Nothobranchius furzeri: one gene and its partners. The protein of the gene in region 1 purifies or fractionates together with the protein of each later gene. This does not show direct contact. Links are inferred from orthologs where the notes say so. Each region holds a gene or a part of one and is shown on either strand. Other genes may lie near its edges.

Region 1 (5,535 bases):
TCATGCGCCTGCTATTTGTTGGCAGTGATGAGTACATCGCTCGTGTATGTGTTGGGGCACAGCTGTTGAGTTTGCTGGATGGATGAGATTCCAAATCAAACTGTTATATTTCAGAAGGCTGACTCCTAACTGGTCTAAAATGTTAATACAACATAAAGTTTGCTTTGAGAAACTTATTAATGCAATATTTTATTTCTGCTTTCCCAGTTAAAATTAAAAACATACCAGGGTACGTAGGTATTCTGACTCTAGTATCAATCTAATTGGAAAAATAAATATTTTTTCCAATGAAGAAAGTGAATTAGTTAAAAGGATGAGTAAAAGTAACAGATTAGCTAGTTTCCTGCTGGTTCCATTAGCTGTGTAGCGTCGCCCTCATGAGGAAGGGAGCAGCTCACTCACGCACCTCAGTTTTCAATGGTCCCATTGATTTTTAAGCATTTAGTCAAACACAACTTAAAGAAAAATCTTTGCCAAGATTAAACATTTTAATAGCTTGCTGAAAACTATGAAGCTTCATTTAATTTCTTGTAAACAGGCTGGTTTCTAGGATGGGCAGTGGTATGATTAAAAATTTGTATTTACCTTAATATTCGTGGAAAACTAAAATCACATGCTGGCTATAATTTCCTGGCTCATACAGATCTTTGGTTCTGTGTAAACAAATACTAGTATTGCCACATTTATATTAAAATGTTATTCATGCAAGAGCAGGTTCGATTCTGTAATTTGGCAAATTTTTTGCATAATTAGCCAATTTTGTCAGAAATATTACTGAATAAATTTTTTGAACATTGCTAAACAAAAGTATTTGCTTTGGTAGGACTTTGGATAGCTTAATATCTAAACTAAATTAGGACTCCTGCTCTGAGCTTTGAGGAATAATCCATCAAAATCTAATTTAACCCTTTGATGAATGAATTATGAAATCTTCAACCATGATTTTTTAAACATTGTTTCATCTTTAGGTGTGAATGAAACAAATTTCAGCAAATAGTAATATTGTTAATTTACAAATAATTTATTACATGTCCAACTCAGTGGACAGCGTGCATTCTGAACATAAAATATGTTGGCTTGGCTTACTGAAGTCCAAATGAGGGGCTCAATGCAATAAAATCTACAACAGCTGTGCTTAATAGCAAAAAATAAATAATTTTGAATATCTGTCCACTGTAGTGACCATTATGCAGCAAAGGGTTAAAAAAAACACAAGACTATTTACATCATTTGAGGCATTTATGTTTTTTAATAACACATCTGGAAGTTTGTGCGCTACAAAGTCTTGAGTCCTAGTCAGTGGACATAAACCTACTCAAACAATTTAATTAGAAAGGAAACTGGGCAGAAAACAGGTTAACAGAACGCCACAAAGTACCGAACTGGACCGTTTCATTAAGTAGCCGTGTTGGTCTCTTGGGGAATATAGCTTATCCAGTGCTTTTACATTGCAGATTTACTGGGCGATGCCAATAACGCCACAGGCTAGACGAGCTCCAGCATTTCCAGTCTTCAGGCTTTCTTCGTTTCCTCCTTTTCCTAGATCGTCACGCTTCTCGTGGATCTAAAAATAAGTAGTTTTACATAAGCTACATTTTTATTGGGGACAAATTTAGACTAAAATCCTTAAAAAAAATAAAATTAAACAAAAAGGGAGGATCACAAGCCCAGATGAAGACGTACCACCATGGTTCGACCAATGATTGAGAGAGGTCCTGAGAGTTTGATGACGCTGTCTGTGATGTTTATCTTGGCAACATTCCCTTCAGCAGTCACATTCCCCAGGTCTCCAACATGTCTGATAAAAAAAAAAATTGTATCAGATTATAATATATTACAGTCAAACTTTATAAAAACAAAAGCATATCAAATACAAATAAGTGAATAGGTAAAAGTGATCCAGCTTCTCATGAGGGACTCGCCTTTCTTCATCTGCAGGACCGCCGTGATTCTTGTCAAAAGGATTGAAGTGAGGCCCCGCGCTAATGCAACCTGGTAATAAGTAAAGGTAAATATTACAACTCTGGGAAGCTTTTATGACAGCAAGCAAGTGCACCTAGATAGGAAATGTTAACAGTTAACTGAAAATTTGGGGGGAAATGTGGAAAAACATGCAATTTCTCACCATTTGTGTTATCCCCATATACATGGACGTGGAAACCATGTTCACCATCAGCAAGGCCACTGATTTCCCCAGTCACTTTAACAGGGGCCGATTCATTCTAGGGGACACAGGCGGTCATGATAATGTAAGTAAATATTATCACGCACGTATAACAGAAAAAAGTCAAAGAACTTTGCAGGCAGGAATAAAAATACTACAGAAAAGTTTAGATACGTCATGGTCAGACGGTAGAGAGTGACTCAGCAGAATTTTAGGGAGGAAATCGTGTTTGTTTTGACTTTAATGGCTGCCTCTGTGCAGCGATGTCTCCGAGCTGCTTTGTGATGACAAAAGAAGAAGAAGCTGCTAAAAACAGGAATTATGAGTGACTGTGGTGAGAGATCCCTCCTGGGGTCACTGAAGTCAACATTACCGTTGGTGAGACGACTGAAAATTACGCAACAAGCGTGTCCACTGTTAATTATTACCATTCTGCAGACTATAAAAGGTTAAAGGTTATATTTTAACTAAACATTTTTCCATTTCAACCACGACAGCCACGTCGTGCCAGCACGAGTAGAAATGTTTGAATTCAAAGTGTTATCTAGAACTTGCTGCACGCGCACCTAACATTTCTACGGTTCGTTGAGCAACTAGTTATCTAATTGCATATGAATTGTTTTATAAACTAAGAAAATCAGAGCAGATGTATCAAATATTCCACTATCTGAAAGTCTGAGGTGTAAATATGTCGCTAACTGCCAAGTTAGTCAAGAGCTCCTCTAAAAATGGATGACATACTTATGTTAGCTAGCTTAGCACAAGACAACTACGGCATCCGTATAGTGTTTAATTAAGTTGAATTTTATGTCCTCTTCGCGGACTACAACCTCGTTCACTTCGTGCATACTGTGACATCTTACCTCTTGCTCAAAGTGAACGGTCCCGGCTGTTTTGTCAGCTCCCTTCAACACACACACAGCTTTCACCACCATCTTTGCAGCAACTCACGAGTAACTATCGCGTCACGTGCCCCCTCGAGAGTCACATAAGAACGTCTCAAGTGGGCGGGTTAATTCAGTGATAGCCAATGAGAAAACGCGTGGTTTAATTGGCTGGCAGGAAGCACGCATATATGTCGATGATCAACACATTTGTCTGCGTTCATGTTTTGGCAGTTTCGTTCTTTAAATGTTATTTATTAATAAGCTTAGTTTATAGTTGATTAAATCTCGTATGATTGTAAAACATACAAAATAATTATAAATATTGAAATTACTCTTTTTTAGTGACTGCGATAGATAGATAGTTAGATAGATAGATAGATAGATAGATAGATAGATAGATAGATGGATAGATGGATAGATAGATATAGATAGATAATACCTTTATTAGTCCTACACTTGAGAAATTTCATCGTTGCAGCATCGACAGTACAGTCAGAAAAGCAGGTAAGATTAAAAAAAACATAATTTTATTTAAAAAAAAAACAGTAATATTAAAAAAAACTAACAAGAGAAAACCACAATCTTCCTCATTCAACAGCCAGCTGCAATGGCCTCATAAAATCTAAAGCCCCATTCCCACCTGTACCGGGTCGGCCCGGGCCGGGTAGCATAGGTTGTTTACATATCTGGGTGGCCTGGAATTTTCCCGGGCCAACCAAGGCTCATTCTCGGCCCTCTTCCCGAGGGGTACTGCTTCAGGCCGACCAGGGCCAACACACCCACTGCTGACAGCAAATTCACACCTTCCATTAGAGCAAGCCTCTGATTGGTGGGTAGAATCAACCCATTCACACCTTCCATTAGAGCAAGCCTCTGATTGGTGGGTAGAATCAGCCCACATGGGCTTAAGGCAAGGATGTGTGGAATCAACCGGGCCAGGCTGGGGCCGACTGGGGCTACCCGGCCCGGGCCGACCCGGTACAGGTGGGAATGGGGCTTAACCGCTGCTGGGAGAAATGGTCTTCTGAACCTTTCCCTCAGCGGTGTGGATGCAGCAACCTGCTAGTGAAAGAGCTATTCAGTGCTGCCAGAGTCCAGTGCATGGGGTGGGAGATGTTATCCATCAGAGAAGATAGCTTGGCCACCATTCTCCGCTCAGTCACCACCTCCACTGGGTCCAGAGGGGCTCCAAGAACGGAACTGGCCCTCTGGACTAAGCGAGTCTTGATTAATTTGTACCGTATTTTTAAAGTTATTTGAATTTTTTACACTACTTATGCAGAAAAATAACTGACTTGTATTCTTTTCTCAGAATTTAGTTTGGGTAAAACTCAACAATGCAAATCATAAAACTATTAATGGCATAAAAAAGAAGCAAGAAGTTGGTACAAAAATAGTTTATTAAAAACAATTTCCTATGGCTGAAATATTGAAGATTTCATATCCACATCTTTTATTTTTAAAAGAAATAGAAACATCGGTCAATTTTCAAACCACTAGGAGTTAAAAACGTTAAAGCAACTGGTCTCGGTTGATCTTTTTTTATTTTTGTGAGTCAATGTTTTGCTTTCAAATAAAACAAATCACAGATTATTAACAACTATTACAAGTAGGTAAAAGCTTATTTACAGCATGTTCTGGGCAGAACCCTTCATTTATTTTTCCATCACTTTATGGGTACGCCTTTCTGTTGAACTGCCCCGCAAACTTTATAATTCTGGGTTCAGAATGAAATCAAAATATGGTCTTCAAAAAAAAGTCACATTTTAATATTCTGTCAAACAGAAAATATTGGTTACTTTAATATTTTGCATGCACTAAAAGTCAAATTAGTGGAACAAGTGATAATGTCTGAAAACAGGAAAGATAAATGGAAAAATAAAACTTACAAAAAAAAACATTTCAGTCCTTATGCAAGGTATTTGAGTCCTTTTTTTTCTAAACACAATGACAAAAACAACATTTTTTGTAAGAAATACTTGTAATAAATGACCCAAACCAAGACAAGGTTTTGCAAACCTTAACTTTAGTAATTTGTCATTCCATCCTTCCTCCTTTTGTTTCCTGAAAATAAAAACAGACCAAAGGAACACCAAATTCAACAAGTTACGGTGTAATTTAATGTCCGTTAAGTTTTGATGTGCATAAATTTTGAAAAACTGACAGCCAAGATTTCAAGAACTGCAGAAGTGTACTGCGTTCACCCCACCCCCTCAAAAAAGTTCAGATTTGCCGAATTAATGAGATCAATTTTACAGATAAAGAATAAACTTTTAAAATTTTTGGAATGAATGTAATACGCTTCCATAAAGAACAAATAGAGTAAAAACAAAAAAATTATGAAAAAAACTGCTATTTTGGAACAGCTGTCATTGATAATTAGAAATTGGATCAATCATTTTTTATGAAATAAAACAACTTCATGGCTCAATATTCACATTGAAATTTTCTTATATGTTAAAATGAACGTCGTTTGTGAGCCTT
Region 2 (5,657 bases), on another chromosome or scaffold:
GGAAAATCAAATATAATTTAATGCAGTTAAAGGATTTAAAGGAAACGTGAGGCAAATCATTTGTTTATGTTATAGGAAAAATAAGTTAGAATGTTAAATATGAACTCAAAACTAACTTAATTCTCAAAGCTGTGAATGTCCCACATTGGTGTTGTAACCACAATTAACTTTTGACATAAATTTACATAAAATGCTAATAATTTGTGAAAAAACACATTTTTGATCCTATTATTAGATATTATTGGCAATTCAAATAAAGTGCTCTAATTAATTCAATTCAATTAAAGTTTATTTATATAGCACCAAATCACGGCAAGGGTCGTCTCAAGGCACTTCACATAGTAATCTTTCCAATACAGGTTAGTTCATTAAGCCAATCAGAAAAAAATTTCCTATATATGGAACCCAGCAAATTGCATCAAGTCAGCAATCCTCATACTAAGCAAGCATTTAGCGACAGTGGAGAGGAAAACTCCACTTAAACAGGAAGAAACCTCCAGAGAATCCTGGCTCAGTATAAGCAGCCATCCGCCACGACTCACTGGGGATCGAGAAGACTGAGCACACACACACACACAACACCAAAATAAATATGTTTGTACCAATACCTAAAAATATTTGTACTAATTACATTTTTGGTAATTCAATACGTTCTCAATCCACATTTTTCTTTTTCTGACCTGCACCTTTGGATCAAACATACCAACTATAGGTTGTAGCAACTGAAATGTCTCAGGTTGTCCTTTTTGACCAAGTTTAAGGCATTATAAATATTATACTGTTTTTGTCTGTACCTTATCATGCATTTATCAGTATCCTTTAGAGATTTCAACATGCAGATATTCCAAAACTAATACAGATATGGAAGAAAAGCAAACATTTACTCAAAACTTGGTTTAGTGCAAACTAGAGGAAACATTTAACCTTTAACACATTTCCTCAGAGAGAGACACGCCGTCTCGCACTGAAAGGATCTAAACAGCGTTTCTGCTTTAAATTGGCTCTGATGAGGCCATCTTTAGTTGCGCAGAGCAGATAAAAATAGCAACGAAGATCTCCCCGGCATTGTCCCTGCAGGAATAAGACACCATGCTGACAGGATCACTACACTGCATGAACCCTCAGCTGTTTGAGCAGTGAAATTAATCTGCGTCTTTAAAGCATCTGATCAATTTGGGACAAAAACTCTCACACTGAAACAGTCTCTAAACTCTTTATTATAATATTTCCTCAAAACCGTTCCACTTCGTTTACATTTCGGCTGTGACACAGAAAGGTTAACGCGACAGGTACGATCCTCTCGGCAACACGAGAAGCACATCATGCACATCTACGGGGAGGTCAAAGTAACAGATCCACAAAAATAAACAGACAACGGTACAAAGGCGAGTAAACGTGATCGACAAGAGCGGTGACCCTGTTCGCACAAATAAAGGTTGTAAACGTTTCAAGTGAAGGCGTGGACAGTCGGTCCACCTCTAGGTGTCAGCCTTTAGCTCGAGCACTTGGTGTGGGAGTTCGTTCGGCCGTTCTCAGTAGAATCATCAGTGCAGAATGGTGAACGTGTCAGCCTGTCCCTTTTTTTTTTAAATATTAAAACTAAAGAAAAAAGGAGGAATGACAACATTACACAAATACTTTTAATAAAGACAAGGAAGAAGTACTGGAGGTTAAGGGGCGAGGGGACCAGATCATCTGAATGGAAGTGACGCTGCTGGGATTTTACGCCTTGGCGTTGATGATCTCAATAAACTCAGGCTTGAGGGAAGCTCCGCCCACAAGGAAACCATCAACGTCCTTCTGGGAGGCGAGTTCCTTACAGGTGGCACCAGTGACAGAGCCTGAGGGGCAGCGGCGGTTAATGAGACGGCATTAACGCAGGAAGAATGCGGGACGTTTGTCCGTTTACTCACCTCCGTAAATGATCCTGACAGAGTTAGCTACAGCCTCAGAGACGTTGGTCTTCAGCCACGCCCTCAGCTTCTCATGAACTTCCTGGGCCTGAGAAATCACACAGGAAACTTGTTAAACACTGCCGCCCTGGTGGTCCTCAAGCAGGAGTATTTAGTTGTTCTCCCACGTCTACCTGTTGCGGGGAGGCGGTCTTGCCTGTACCAATGGCCCACACGGGCTCATAAGCAAGCACCACCTTGCTCCAGTCCTTTACATTGTCTGCCAAACAGATAAGACCACAGATTTAGCAACTTCTCCAGATTAAGGGAAAACGTATTGCTCCATTTGGGCTTTTTCCTCCCGTGCACACGAGTTTATATAAAAGAAGCTGCATACCTGCAATGACTTTGGTCTGAGCAAACACCACCTTCTCCGTGATGCCTCCTTCCCTCTCATCCAGCTTCTCACCGATGCAGGCGATCACGCCGAGACCGTTCTCCAGAGCGTGAGCCGTCTTCTGACCAATAAGCTAACGTTGCACAGGAGGACATTCAATAAACACGCCGTTTAATCCTCTGTGAGATTTAAACTGTTAAATCTTACCTCATCGCTCTCTCCAAAGACGTGGCGCCTCTCAGAGTGTCCCAGGATCACCCAGTTCACACCACAGTCCTTGATCATCGCAGGGCTGGAGGCAGAGAACGGATAAGACTCACCGCAAACCGCTAGATCCACAGAAAAAGGCTGGACAGGTTTCTACGGCACTACCTGATCTCCCCAGTGAAGGCACCCTTGGGAACCTTGTAGCAGTTCTGAGCTGCCACACCAAACTTGGCATCCAGCTTGGACCTGGTGAAGTCCAGGTAGATGGATGGAGCGCCACACACCACCTCTATTTATGTAGAAGGTTACATAGTCAACAATAAAGGCTTTTTATTAGCTTTAGGACTAATTCCTATAAATATTGAAATAATCTACGATTTTTGTTTTAGAACAAAACACATTCAAATAATCCTTAAACATGGTCCCCCTGTGTGAATACAAGACTTTGACACAAGTACAGTGAAGTCCAGACACTGACATTCACATTGTAACTGTATCTTTGGGGTTACGAGGAGCTAAATTCAGTTTGGTAAAGGTCATTTGTCCCGAGCCAGAGTCAACAGCAGTAAAGGTCTGAGTTCAGTTTCTAAAAAGGTCAACTAAAGGCTTGCATTCTGCAGAGGACGAGACATGGCTTAAACCTGGGTTCAAAAGGTCAAATGACCAACATGATGGACATTAGAACAACAAGGCAAAGCCTGTCTGGCACTGCAAGGGAGGTGGACTCATTTAGGGGGCAAGGTCCAAGGACAGTATGAGCAGTTGCTCCTGGACAAGCGTGGAGCAGGTAGATACAACGTTAGGGTTGCATAATAATGCTGAATCGCAACAGGTTTGGTTTTGACACAAAGTCTGCGGACCCTGCAGTGAAGGGGGGAAACAGCTGCTGCTGTTTTTTCTGGTTTGCAGAAGCAGATAGTGCAGACGATGCGTTCAGGTAACGATAGGGAAAAATAAAAAAACACAGACTCAGACATTCACGCATGAGCAAAAGGTAAACATGCACATTGATTTTAAACGTATATAAATTGTATTTCTGTTTTAATTAAAACCTCTGATCTTTTACTAGCTTTGTTCTGTATATTTAGCCAGCAGGCTTTGGGAAGCATCAGTGACCAGTGCTTGATCTTGAATGCATCCCGGGAGCTAGCGTGACTACGTGCAGCTGCAAACGCACACCCACCTCCGACATCACCGAAAAGCTTCTCTGCTCGCCCTTCACCTGTACCCCTTCATACTTTTCTGTCTATTTTAGGTTAATTAAACTCGATTCAACACGACAATATAACGACTGTTTCTTTTTAAGGGCTTTTAAAATCATTGAGGAGGAGATTTGTGATGCTAAAGGTGTCCTTGTTTCATGACTGAACGAGCCATTTTGAAAATATATCAAAAATCGTTTTGAAAGAGAAAAAATTGACGAACACAACGGGGTTAGGCTGAAAGATTCAACGAAAGTTTTAACTCGGTTGTTAAAATCCACACATACCGACATTAGCGTCCACCTTTCCTCCGTTCAGGGTCTCGATGAGCTCCCCGAGGCTTTTCTTGTCTCCATTCATCTTCCAGTTTCCACCGACAAAGAATTTCCTGCTCATGTTTGCGGGTTTTTGTTAGGATTTACTAGAGAATTAAACTGGACAGTACCACGACGGGGACCTTCTCTTTCGGGGCAGAGAGCAAGCGTTTGATGGCTGCTTTACCTATTTATACGGAGGGAATTTAACACCGCCTCTTTGTCAGTATACCGACACACCATTGGCGTATCACGGAACGCCGATGAACGCATCACCGCAGCAGGGGAAGAGGAAGAGCGAAATGTCATGCTGCGTTCAAGTGCTGTTTGAAAAGTTATTTACACAAAGATAAACCACAAAAAATACATGTTTTAATTGAATGAAAAAGATACGTAGTTGTTTAAATAACTAAAAACAGTTCGAAAAAACTAAATAGCAAAAATTTAGCTCACTTATGCATAAAAATCATAACTTGATGAACTGAATGTATTGTGATATCACCTAAAACGTGTTTACATCTTCAGATACTATCTGTGATAACATTTCCACATTATTTTGTGATTTGATAGCTGAGATAAAAGTACTACATTACGAATTACAAACTAAACTGTTAAAAGCACAACGAAAAAGAGTATTCTACACCTGAAAGAACTGTTTCTCAACTACTGAACACATCACATAATTTGTATAAATATGTTTAAGTTGGATATGTAATTATTTTATTTTACGTACGAAAGTAAAACAAATGTATTTGAATCATGTGCAAAAGTGTTTCCATTTGAGCATTTATTTAACGCTTTCACTTTGAATGACACAGTAATGCGCTTTTGGATTGGTCATGACTAGTGACCCACCTAGCCCCGCCTACCTTTAATGACAACTGAAGAACAGATGATCTGGTTGGACAGATCACGGAACTTGTATTTACATTTTACATACCCAACATGCATTGCGGTTAATCTCAAATATTATACTTGTAAAACACATATAAAACACGTTTGAAAGTAACTTTTTGTATTAAATGTTGTATTAATTTACTTTTTATAATGTACTTTACTATCAGCTACTCTAACTGTATTTTGTCAAACCGTAACAAGAATGTATGTGTCCCTTTTATTAGTATGGTTGCGGAGCCGTTTCAGGTTCAGGATAATTTGCTCTTTAATATTTATCTAGCAGGTTTCTCATAATGAGAAGCCCCTTTAATTGTGAGAAGCAACCTACCTGACTGGTATTGTAGATAACGACTTAACAAAACAGTTTCTGTCTCCAAATAATGTGGTGCACATGTGCATACTTGCGCAGTATAAGCTTGTTAGTCTGTCTATTAAATGTCTCTCAGTTTATCTCAATAAATTAAAAAAAATTAAAAATTCTCAACATCATCATAGCTTTAAGATATTTTATTTTTCAAATGGATCTTTTTCGTTAAAATCCGGTGAAAAACTAGCCTTGAGAACTAGACCAATTTCTTGCTTTGCAAAGTCTGGCTTGCCAGGCTAGTGAAAAACAGATTGCCTCACCTTTACCCGTGTTACTGTAGGGCACAAACAAGCCCCTCCCACTTTCCTCAGGCTATCCCAGTAGCCAATCACAATGCAGTTACTCTTATTCACATCCCGGGGCCTTGCATTTTCGGCTTTT
Region 3 (5,728 bases), on another chromosome or scaffold:
CTTATGAAAGCTGTCAAATACAGAGGGTGCGGGTTTACTCAGGGACACAATCAAGTACACAACCTTTCACGCAGAATGACAAGGAGGGTTCAACCTAAAAAGTGTTGCAAGAAGAGAGTGAAGTATTTTTCAATATTAAATTCTCAGGTGACAAAGAGTTATGGTTTGAATGCCTTGCGACTATTCTGCTGCCTCCGTTCACTCCTTTCTTGGGTAAAAATGCCACATTAATGTTTTATTTCCACAAATAACACAAGCCCAAACATGTTGTGTACTTGCTAATAGTTAGCGTCAACAAGCCGAGACACACTCCGCTTTTTTTTGCTGCAAGATCAATACAGCCTTCCAGTCGGCAGCCATAAGGGATGAATTAATGAATGCAAATTTCCAAAATGACGTAAATCTGTGTGGCTTTTTCTGGTCCGAGTATTCCCCCATCTATTTTTATTTCTGCGGCTAATTCAGAATGAACATAATGGGAAATTTTTCTTCAAATTACTAATACGGGAAGCAGGCAAGAAAAAGGGTTAGAAACAGTGGAGTTGCTCAGGTTAATGGGAGACATACAGGTATGCTGATGGTCTGTTATGGTGACTCGCTAGTGGCCCCATCAGCTTACTGTCAGAGGAACATCTTCTGTCTCCATTTGCTAATATTTCTGAACTGAAAATCATTGTTTCACGCTCAAGTCTTTTGTTGTCTCTATATCAGAAAGTAAGGCTGCACCACATTGCGATATTAACTACCGAGTTACAGCGTGACAGCACAGCCACAAAGTTTTTTGTCAAGTTTAGCTCCCCAGCCCCAGTGTGTGTGTGAGGGAGAAAGTGAGTGGAATAAATTCAAATGAACACTCAAACATATGTTTTATTAAAATATAAAATTAATTCATTTATATTTTTATTATCATGTCACACCACAGATCTGGTTTTCTTACAAACCCTAACAAAATGGACTACTGTAGTTGGGTGAACACCTTTCTCAGTAGAAATAAATGCACTGGGGGCAAATAGGAACCTATCCAAGATGGCAGCTGCGCTAATACGTCAGCTCCTATGGGGAGCGCCAGTCTATGAGGCGTCTACATACGTATATGATGCCAGTAGTTTGTCTCACTGGGCCACCGCATTTCTGCATTTACCTGGGTCCTCCAGTCACTGGTGTGAGAGGTGCTCAGTAATATCAGAGAAGGAGAAACAGCCGGCTGCTACCACTTCAACTTTAGGACAATCTACCAGAGTCCCAAAAAGAAAAACACCATTTGAAGTCAACAAAAGACGTTTGGACCTGGAAAACGGTAACTGGTGCTTTGCGCTCTCTCGTGTCCCCTGGCACGTGGATTCCTATATCAGGTGGGCGTGGCCAGGGGATAGTAGCCGATGGGAGAGGTGAGTGTTCTGTGACCATTTTTGTGTTTAAAAGCTAGCTTGTTTTGCAGATTTGCCTTTGCAGCTTTAAATCAGAAAGTCCATCTCTGTGCACTTCAAAATTCATTAACTGGCCACCCTAAAGTGTCATTCACTAGGCGTGAGAGGATGGCTGCCCATCCCATTCGTAGTCAGATGCTTCTTGCTCAGTGACTGCACAATCAACCTTTACAAACCATGTACAAATGCACCACGTCCTTGTACAGTTCTACACTGCCATCATTCAGACTATACTCACCTCACCCATAGTAGTCTCGTATGGTAATATGGACTCCAACTCACGTAAAAAACAACAACACATAACAGTCAAATCATCTAAAATTATAGGCCATACCCTACCTTCCACTGACACGCTGTACCATGACGCATCACACAGAGGGCAGGAAACATCCCCTCGGACCCCTCTCACCCTGCACATCATCTGTTCACACTATTGCCTTCTAGAAGACGCTACAGGTGTTTACAGTCAAAATCACATATATTCAAATACAGTTTTATCCCCAACAGCTATACGGTCACCAAATAAAGTAACTGCCTAAAGCTTTTGTATGTCCCTGTCTGTTTATTTTTAGTTACGTCAGGTGTAGACACAGAGTTGTGAGCATGTCGTGCTGCACAGGAAACAAATTCCACCAACTTGTTGTGTGGTCATTAATTAATTAATCTGAATCTCTTTAGTCCCAGACATGCTTGTCAAGATTAAGGTCACACCATATTTAACCCATAGAGAGGGAAATCTATTAGATAATGTGTATAATTATGGCTGGATTGTTTTCACAAGCTGTACCTGCACAGATGGCTGCAATCAGGCCGTTTCTGCTGTCTTGATCCTTCAGCACCTCCTTCACAGCAGGCGACTGGGAGAAAGGAAAAACAGATGCACACAGAGTCACTTAGCGGCCATGTGGCCCTCCATACATATTCACTGGCCATTCTGTAATAACACAAAGAGGCAGTGTGTTTAAAAGTATCCGCTATGCAGAGCTTTCTGCAAATCAAATGTTTCAGCTATGGATGTTCTGATCACAATTTTAGAAAGGGCTACAGCAGAAAAATGCAATATTTGACAATTATGATCTGCAAGCTACTCAGCAAAAGAAATGCGACTCAGCATAAGGAAATACTTTACAGTAAAAGTTGTTAAAAACTTGTTTTTATTTCTATTCTATCGATTTCAAATGCAAACCATATCTGATGAAAATAATTCTAGAGCCATGTGGCTGCTCACTGAGCACAAGGGCCAATGAAAATGTCAAAAGTAAGTATTTTCTCACCTCTGCCAGATTCTGAGCACCTGGCATTCCTCCTGGCAAGACAACCACATCATATGGGCCCTTGGACACAAACAAAATGAGTATTACCTGTCTTTAAAAAAATCTAAGTTATCTTTGACAAAGATTTGAACATTTAGAACTAAATATAATTCAAGTAACTCTTTGATGTATTTCCTTTATTCTTATAATTTTAGATCCATGATCCAGAAATTGGTAGAATCAACGTCAAAATTAACAGGAACTGCTCTGATACACATCATCGTCCCACAACAAATACATCTCATGAGATGTTTCCCTAACATGTGACTGCTTGTCTTAATGCTCTACCTGTTTGCTGGCTTCCTCCAAACTTGTATCAGGACAGATGACAATGTTTCTGCTGCACTGGACTGGCTCTTTCCCCGTCAGACCTGCAACTGTGACTGTAATCTACAAATATGAAAATGTTATCACAACTCCAGAGTAACAGGACTACATGGCATCCTGCGTCATGGTCAACGAAGGCTTTTATTTTGAAAGGTAAAAAGAGGTTGGACTTTGACATTTAAACTTGGCTTCTGCCTGGAGTCGCTAAAGGTTGGGGGTTCGTCTAGAATTTACAAACTACAAGCTCAAAAGGGGATTCAACTTTTGAGGTTAAGGAGAACAATAGTTGCAGGACAAAACTGCTTATTGCTTGACCAAGTGTTAGCACTCATTATCTCAAATTAATTATTTTCTTTACCGTCACAATCAATGTTTAATAAACCACTATGTTTAAACATAATTGTAGCATACGGTCCGGTGTCTGCTGTAAGGTCAGTTCTATGGGTTAGCTATGAACCGCAGCATGCTACTTTTGTTTACCATAGCATGCTAACTGTTAGCATACAACAAGTTAACAAGTACAAACCCCGGCTCTGCGCATTATATCCACAGGAATAACAGTTTCCATCTCCTCTGCACCTTTAGACAGGATTACCAACGCCTTCTTCCCTGCCATAGTTAGCTTACAGTTATACTTCTGCAGGAACTAAAACGCTAAAAACTGCGGCAGCAGACGTACAGACCAATGCAGACTTTCAACGGGAGGAATAGGTTGCCAGATCCGTCAATTTATCCCCCTTCCAAAAAGGCAAAGCTCCACATGCACAAAAACATGTCAACTAAATCATCAAAGGTGTTTATACTCTGAAATAAATGTAAACACAATTCTTGTACAAATTTTACTTACAGTCCACTATTTGTGTAACATTCTGACCTCTGAATGGAAAACACAAATTCATATTTTCAATTTAAAGATTGGACTGATTCCCTTATAATAATAATAATAATAATAATAATAATAATAATAATAATAATAATAATAATAATGACAAAAATAACAATAATAATAATAATAATAATAGATGATACCATACCATATTTTGTCCAGCAGAGGGTGCCAGGGTACATATAGTAAATATTAAATATTTGAAATTTTTGTTGTTGGAGCTTTAGAAATATTCATGTCTCTTACTTATTTGCAACTTGGACTTTAACTGTTGGCAAAATCTTAAAAGAAAAGCTTTCAATTGAGTCATTAGTTTTGTCTCCAGCTCACTGTGTTTTACAGTACCAGCTGAGCAGACTAATCCATGTTGTAAAATAGCTCTAAAGGAGCAAAAAGTTTTTATTTTTTCCAAGTCTGTGCGAAAACTTCTGTTCCAGTCTCTTGAGAGACTTAGAGATCCGCATTCCAATGTAAATCCCAGACTTGATGTCTAAGGGCTTTAGTGTGCAGGCACACATCCTTGTTAATTTGCCTATGTGTATTCTGCTGCAGAGATTCATTGTCATATTCTTCTAACCAACTCAGAGCCCAGTGAAATGACGGATTAGACAAAAGCGGAGGAGTTGCTGCCAGCAGGTTGTTCGCTGCGTGCCTGTGAGTGAATTCAAGAAGCAGCTGTGATTACCAACATATGCAGCTGGGGATCAACTGCACCAGACCCGCGAACACACTCGAGAAAATTTCCATACATTAATTCACTTACGTACAATTACTAATTCTGTTCAGTGTGTTATCATCAAACGCATGATTAGACTGGGATCCAGTTTCAAAAGTGACTTGAGGATGAGTCACAGGAAAGGAAACAGTAACCACTGATGAATGGAAGTGTTTGCACAGGGTTTAATCATCTAAAGGTTCAAGCCACTGTAAGTGACTGAAAACATAACTCGAGTGTAACAGTCACTGAAAAAGAAGTTTGTTTGCTTTGCACTTTTCAGCTTATTCTCACCAGTAACTTTTAAAAACTATCAATACATGTAACACTAAGAGGAGACTTTTTCATTGCACACCTTTGCTCTCTTTCAACAATTTGCTCCAGGAAAAGTTTGAAAATCAAGTGTGAATGATGCAGAAGGTGTAAAACTAATGAGGCATTAATTTTGTTTTGTGCTTTATGCAGCCAGAAGTGTAATATTAGGTAGGAAAGATGAGGTGATTTGTGAGCATTGTATGTGTTAAAGGCGTAGAACACTTGTTTAGCCAGTACACTTGCAGTGGTCTCTGGTAGGAATTAATGCCTTGCAAGCCGTACTCGGGGCAACGAAAGCCCAGAAGCGTCTGGATCATCACGGACAAGTCTGCTGCAGCAGAGAGTGGCACAACACGACAGGATTTGGAGTCTTATTTCCTGATATTTGGACATCTTGCCTCCGATTGGCTAATAGCAACATGACTCTACCACCGACTCTGTTTGCTCTGTCAAAATAATCATTAAATTTTTTTTTTCAGTGAACCACACCTTTAATAAAGTCTGAGCTGAGAACATGCCCTTCTTTAGCATCTTACGTCTTCTCTGCTTCCTCATCATCAGGCCTGCCTCTGTTTGCTCAGTTAATATATTTTATCTGCTTGCTCACAGAGGTCTGCTTACAAACCTGAAGGGTTTTTGGGTTCAAACCTCAGGGGGGACAAGAAAACAGAACTTTTTTCTCCCCGTACCCAAGGAGCAAAAATAAAACCCTCAAACTGAAATGAGGGAATTTCACAAATTACAG
Region 4 (5,773 bases), on another chromosome or scaffold:
AGCTACAACGTAGCCACAGCTACCCTGAGAAAACACTGATGGAGGGGAGGGTGCAGAGCACAGGTGCCACCAGTCCCTCCAACCAGCAGGCAAGGTGGGTTAAGTGTCTTGCCCAAGGATATGACAGCAGCACTCTCTGTCATGAGCCGGGATTGATCTCATAACCCTCTGATTTCATGATAACCTACGTCCAGAGCTACCGCTGACCCATGAACAAAAGTAAAAACATAAAAAGTTTAAAAATATTTAAAGTGTACCCTCCTTTTTGTTTTTGGCCATATTATAACCCAGGAAGAATGACCTATAATGTTTTTAAAATGTTGACTGTGAATGGGAAAAATGGTTTTCATGTTAGTGAACTAGACCAGTGGTTCCCAACCTTTTTCCCAAGGGACCCCGTTTTTTACCAGTAAAACTTTTGATGACCCCCTCCTATTCTCTCTTCCAGTACAAACATTATTAAGAAATGATAAAATTGTTCAAGCACATTTTAATATGCTTTGATTCAATAGATAACAGTAATAGTAGGCTCCAGTACAGAACAAAGTCATTAACAAAACCAAACAGAGCATAATGTGCTTGACAGTTTGTATTACTTTTCTGAAAACATTGTTTCTTGTAAACACTGATAAATCAATCATTCCTTTCAATAAACGTTAAAAAATACACTGAGCAAAATGTACTTAAATGTGTATATTACTGTTTATACTAGATTATTTACTGTAAAGGCTGTGATTAATCAACCAGTCCTATCTTTAATGAACTTTTGACACTTGAAAATAAAACAGTGAGCTGAGCAAAATGTTCTTAAAAGTGTGTTACTTTTTCTGTACTAATTATTTCCTATCTTAATATCAGTAAACTTTTCACTCATGAAAAAAATGGGAGCAAAATGTAGGCTATAAACAAGTAATAAATGAAGTTTTAACCCCTTAAAGTGGAGAGGTCCTTGCGACCCACTGAGAGGCTTTGGCGCCCCCTTGTGGGGGTTGGGACCCCCAGATTAGGAACCACTGAACTAGACCAAATTCTTGCTTTGCAAAGTTTGTTCTAGGAATGCTCCACTGGAACCTCTGCAGCCCCTAACAGCATTCTGGCTGGCCAATCACAGCTCTCTAGAGGGGTTTCAAACACACAAAGAGCTGTGATTGGTCCATAATGGTGGGCCAATCGTAGTGCTCTATCTGCTTAGCAGGGGTGGACTGGGACCAAAATTCGGCCCTGGCATTTTTACGAATCGTCGGCCCTCCCCATTGGGAGAGCGTTGGGGGTGGGGGATGTTGCCGCCCGTGGACTCGTCTCTAGGCCGAATGAGAGTTCTAATATGAACTGGGACTGTTAAATTACAAGCATGGGCAGACCGCTGCGACTGGGAGCCCTGGCCTTCTAGATCAGCTCATTCCCCATGGGCGGAGATCAGCGGGACATTAGCTACATGCTAAAGCGGTAAAACAACTTATACGTCATCGCTCTAACGCGTTTTTCTAGCTAAAAATGACTGGAAAAACTCTGGTAGCTTCAGGTTTTCATATAGCTAATGTTCTGCAGATCACCAACTGTGAAGTGGTGTCGGCCCAAGCAGGGTAAGCAGCCCACTTGGCTAAGTGGCCCACCGGGACAGTGCCAGAATGCTAGATAGGCCAGTCCACCCCTGCTGCTTAGTGAACAAATCACAGAGCTTTATCCGCTTTGTGGGCCAATCAGGGCACTCTATATGCCTGGTGGGTGGGATGATGCAACAGAGAGAAACAAGAGTATGTCACATTCTTTGTCCAGTAGCATGCGGCGATCATTTGAAAGACAACGGTAGAACCCACCCCACAACCGAGAGCCGTCAATGGAGCGTTGCCAGACTAAATAATACATTTATTTAGTCTGGCTTGCCAGGCTAAGTGAAATGTTCAATTTGACTAGAAACCATCCATCCATTTTCAGTCGCTTACCCGAAGTCGGGTCCCAGGGGCAGCAGCCTAAGCCGGGACGCCTAGACTTCCCTCTCCCCAGCTACTTGAGCCAGCAATTCCGGAGGAATACCCAGGCGTTCCCTGCCAGCCGAGAGACATAGTCCCTCCAGCGTGTCCTGGGTCTTCCCTTGGGTCTCCTCCCAGTTGAACGTGCCCGGAAAACCTCACTTGGGAGGCGTCCAGGAGGCATCCTGACCAGATGCCCAAGCCACCTCAGCTGGCTTCTCTCAACATGGAGGAGCAGCGGGTCTACTCCTAGCCCCTCCCGGATGACCGAGCTTCTCATTCTATCTCTAAGCCACCCTGAGGAGAAAAATCAAAGCAATTTGGCTAATTGCTATATGGCAAAATGGCTTGCCATATAGCAGTATTCAATCAGCTTCCTACCTCTAGCTGAAGCCTATAATTCCCATAATTCATTGTTTGAGAGCGCTTCTCATCTCTGCGCTCCTGTAGGGATGCTTTTTTAATCAGAAAAGCCGCATCCTCCTGCCCTTCATCCGGGTCCTCTAACTCCTATTAGTGAACGTGCGCTCCTCCTCGCGCTCCTCTACGTAGTGTCTCTCTTCCAGCCAATAGCGTCGCACCGTTCCTGATTCCGACCACTTATCTTCCAGCTCACAGGGTCACGAGCGCCTTCTCTGCCTGCTTACCCGAGAGACTGAGCACCGTCCTTGCACACAGTTAGGCCGGAAAAGGTAACCTTTACCGTTGTTTTTCTCCTTTCCTCCTGTTTTTCTTCGATTAACAAACATTTTAAAGCTTCGTGTGGTTATTGTTAAGCCGAGTGTGCTAATAAAATCACTTTACTGCTTTTTAAAATTACTACACGATGGGTTTCCTCTTAAACGAAATCCTCCGCGGTTTGTCCTTGTCGGTGCTAGCTAACTGTCGAATATTTTGGTAGCTCGATCACGTTTGATTCCTTCATCTTGCTGTTGTATTCAGCAGGATGGAGCGATTTCTTTAACTCGTCGTCTATTTTTAAACAACGCCGTCAGCTGGCGAGATATCTCTCCATTTAGAGCTGAAGTGTGTGAGGGGGAATGGGGTGTCCGGTTGCAAGGCCACCTTGCAGCAGACCGTATTCTTCATTTTGACGAGGAGCCATTATTTGTGACCCTCTTGTTTCGAATAGGAATTTCAAAGCCACTCGTTTTTTTGACCACCGGTTGCTTGCAGCATACACGGAGGTGTGTCCACCGTGTCAGGGAAAATTACTGAGGGGGAACAAGCCTGCACGGGCGTCTGGGTTTCCTTCATTCTCCCAAGCTAATGAGTCCTGTGAGGATTCTTGCATCTTTATTAGGACAATCAGAGAAAACGCTGTAAGTCCAGTAGAGGAGTTATTTTATGCTTTAAAACTAACTAAATAATCCACATCTAACCCAGTATGAAGTAATGATGTCTCGAATTAACTGATTTACCAGCTGTAAAATAATTGTTCTGGATTATTCACGCATTTCTGTCTTGCATTGAGTAATGATCAGAAAATGCACATTTATTTCAAGACGGGTTGTCTGTGGCTGAATGGATAACATGTTGCTAAAGGGGGGACATTTACAGGAGTGGTTCACAAATAATCCAAATAGTCAAGGGTTTTGCATGTTCGTAGTAGTTAACCTGCTACAAAATTTGGTCTGCATATGTTTGTATTTTAAATATTTTAATGAAAAATAAAGTCCCACACACTTAATAATAAAACAGCCAAACTCTGGGATAATGGTTTATCTAAAACTGATCTTATTCGTGAACCATTTCACAAAGTGATCCTGAAGATTTGTGCTAACGTTACGGCACATTTGGGGACTAAGATTTGGTCGTTTAAATTTTAAAGCTTTGAGTTTTGATACCCAGTCTTAAAAAAACACTTCCTCTGTGAATTTGTCTGTGGCACATTTCCACACAAACTTTTAAGGATTGCCTTTTCCATTAGTTTTAATTAAGCTGCACTCACGCTTGACTTTGCAGAATATGAATTTAGGGCGAGTTGAGTAGAACAAACACAATAATCAATATAAAACTGCAGGCGTCATGGCCCAGACAGTCTGGCATTACACTGTTTGACTTCCACTGCAGAAATGGAGGTGACAAAAGCTCTGAGATTAAGCCTGCAGTCTGTATCAGAGCGAAGCTTGTTACAAAAAAGGCCAAACATTGCACTGGTGCCAAATCACGTTCCTATTTTGCACATTTACGCTTAAATATTGATATTGTTGCATAATTCTTGACTTTACTGGGGCAAACATTTTGCAAACTATTTCACAATCGGAAGTGGTTTGTGAACTCAGTTGACCTGCAGAGAATTTTCTAGTGCTGCAGAAGCCACACCCCGCCCCGACTGAAGCAACAATCATTCTGTTCGGATCACATCAGTCTGATAGTGTGCAGGTCTCATTTATTTTAGTCTTCAAGAAGATTTACAGCTGATCAATATTTCCCCAGACTCCTTTTTCACATTGAGTTTTATTGTAGGTGTGCTGCAGAGCATTTATATTTTTTGCCAAGTCACTGTTCACTGGACCATTAAGTATGCGAGTGCCCCTGTAGGGAGGCCTGAATGGTTGCAGTATCGGTAATGAACTTTTGCTCTCGTTTTTGCAGGAGATCTGTAACAATGTCCATCCTGAAGATTCACGCTCGTGAGATCTTTGACTCTCGTGGAAACCCCACCGTAGAGGTCGATCTGTACACCAAGAAAGGTTTGTAAGAGCTCTTATGATTTTCTGTACAACCTTCAGGTGCTGAATGACTTCCTCCTTAGACATGGGTAGTTTAGTTGTTCATTTTTTGAATCATTTAATCAGAATTGGTGATTTTTCCATTAAACCTGAATATTTTATGAAGTTTTAGGCTTATCTTTCTTTTCATAGTTTACTTGATCAATCTGGGGAAAAATACAAACTTCCTAGTTGTTCTGCAAGTTTGAATTTTCAGTGCAATCAGAATGTCTTACTTTGCTAATTCATAATTTGTTATTCCCCCTGAAACATACAAAAGTGGATATTTAGGTCAGGTTTGTGCTTGGTTACTGCTGCTGGCCCAGAGTGGATGGCATTCATGAATGTGTGAAAATAGCTGCTGTAACTTGACATGACCTCCACAGCTCACAGCTACTGTAATGGTTCCTGTTTGGGAGCACACAGCTCATACAGTACACATCAGTAGCAAACCACATCAGCTGATTATTAAAATTCAAATGACTAGAAACCTCCTCTTCTGAAGTGATGTAAAATTAGCTTCTCTGGATTATGTGACTACGCTGCCTAGAAGTCATCTGTACTCTTTTGTACGAGTCCTCTAAGGTCTGGATCAATTCATTTCATAATGACCCATGGTTTTATTTATTTGTTTTGTTAAACTAAACAAAGGGTTTGCTCGACTTGCTTGACACATCCTGAGAATGTTAATGAAGCAACCTGAATGGTCACTGACCTGGAAGTGAGTGAAACTGGTCAGTGTCCTGAAAACGCTGTCTGGCTGTTCTGCAGCCATCTCTTCGTGAGTTTGGCTGGTTGTTGAGTGCTCTGTTTACTGTAAATGTCTGATTTCTTTTTGCACAAGATTCCCTTTTAAGTCCAGCAGCCCAGCTTTGACATCATTAACGGCGAATGTCTGTTTTTCCCAGAGGTTATTAGGTTTTTGCTCTGTTAGATGTTTACACCCACTGATCCTGTGTGGTGGGGTAAGAATTTTATTAAAATTTTGTGACTAAGTGCATTTGTTCTGCTAATGAATCTTTTGCTGTACTTTGAAACTTGGCAGCTAGTGTGGGATAGCACTTGATTGTGGGCCTGATGGGCCGCTGC

The links.
Region 2: the proteins of sod1 (region 1) and tpi1b purify together in Homo sapiens (affinity purification with mass spectrometry; 3 studies listed by BioGRID, with this or other methods). This does not show direct contact. The link is inferred for Nothobranchius furzeri from reciprocal best matches to the Homo sapiens genes SOD1 and TPI1.
Region 3: the proteins of sod1 (region 1) and park7 purify together in Homo sapiens (affinity purification with mass spectrometry; 4 studies listed by BioGRID and IntAct, with this or other methods). This does not show direct contact. The link is inferred for Nothobranchius furzeri from reciprocal best matches to the Homo sapiens genes SOD1 and PARK7.
Region 4: the proteins of sod1 (region 1) and eno1a fractionate together in Homo sapiens (co-fractionation; 3 studies listed by BioGRID, with this or other methods). This does not show direct contact. The link is inferred for Nothobranchius furzeri from reciprocal best matches to the Homo sapiens genes SOD1 and ENO1.

The regions. Positions count from the first base shown.
Region 1 is NC_091750.1:63,536,484-63,542,018, reverse strand, and holds sod1 (superoxide dismutase [Cu-Zn]), read right to left. Parts: upstream 3,179-5,535; 5' UTR 3,100-3,178; coding exon 3,028-3,099; intron 2,223-3,027; coding exon 2,126-2,222; intron 1,993-2,125; coding exon 1,923-1,992; intron 1,799-1,922; coding exon 1,684-1,798; intron 1,565-1,683; coding exon 1,457-1,564; 3' UTR 1,227-1,456; downstream 1-1,226. UniProt on the Homo sapiens protein: Destroys radicals which are normally produced within the cells and which are toxic to biological systems.
Region 2 is NC_091745.1:74,101,637-74,107,293, forward strand, and holds tpi1b (triosephosphate isomerase B), read right to left. Parts: upstream 4,255-5,657; 5' UTR 4,095-4,254; coding exon 3,986-4,094; intron 2,786-3,985; coding exon 2,662-2,785; intron 2,582-2,661; coding exon 2,497-2,581; intron 2,423-2,496; coding exon 2,290-2,422; intron 2,173-2,289; coding exon 2,087-2,172; intron 2,002-2,086; coding exon 1,914-2,001; intron 1,842-1,913; coding exon 1,723-1,841; 3' UTR 1,200-1,722; downstream 1-1,199. UniProt on the Homo sapiens protein: Triosephosphate isomerase is an extremely efficient metabolic enzyme that catalyzes the interconversion between dihydroxyacetone phosphate (DHAP) and D-glyceraldehyde-3-phosphate (G3P) in glycolysis and gluconeogenesis.
Region 3 is NC_091743.1:63,724,525-63,730,252, forward strand, and holds the start of park7 (Parkinson disease protein 7 homolog), read right to left. Parts: upstream 3,795-5,728; 5' UTR 3,684-3,794; coding exon 3,594-3,683; intron 3,131-3,593; coding exon 3,029-3,130; intron 2,762-3,028; coding exon 2,702-2,761; intron 2,285-2,701; coding exon 2,215-2,284; intron 1-2,214. UniProt on the Homo sapiens protein: Multifunctional protein with controversial molecular function which plays an important role in cell protection against oxidative stress and cell death acting as oxidative stress sensor and redox-sensitive chaperone and protease.
Region 4 is NC_091755.1:28,665,919-28,671,691, forward strand, and holds the start of eno1a (enolase 1a, (alpha)), read left to right. Parts: upstream 1-2,524; 5' UTR 2,525-2,662; intron 2,663-4,568; 5' UTR 4,569-4,581; coding exon 4,582-4,666; intron 4,667-5,773. UniProt on the Homo sapiens protein: Glycolytic enzyme the catalyzes the conversion of 2-phosphoglycerate to phosphoenolpyruvate. In addition to glycolysis, involved in various processes such as growth control, hypoxia tolerance and allergic responses.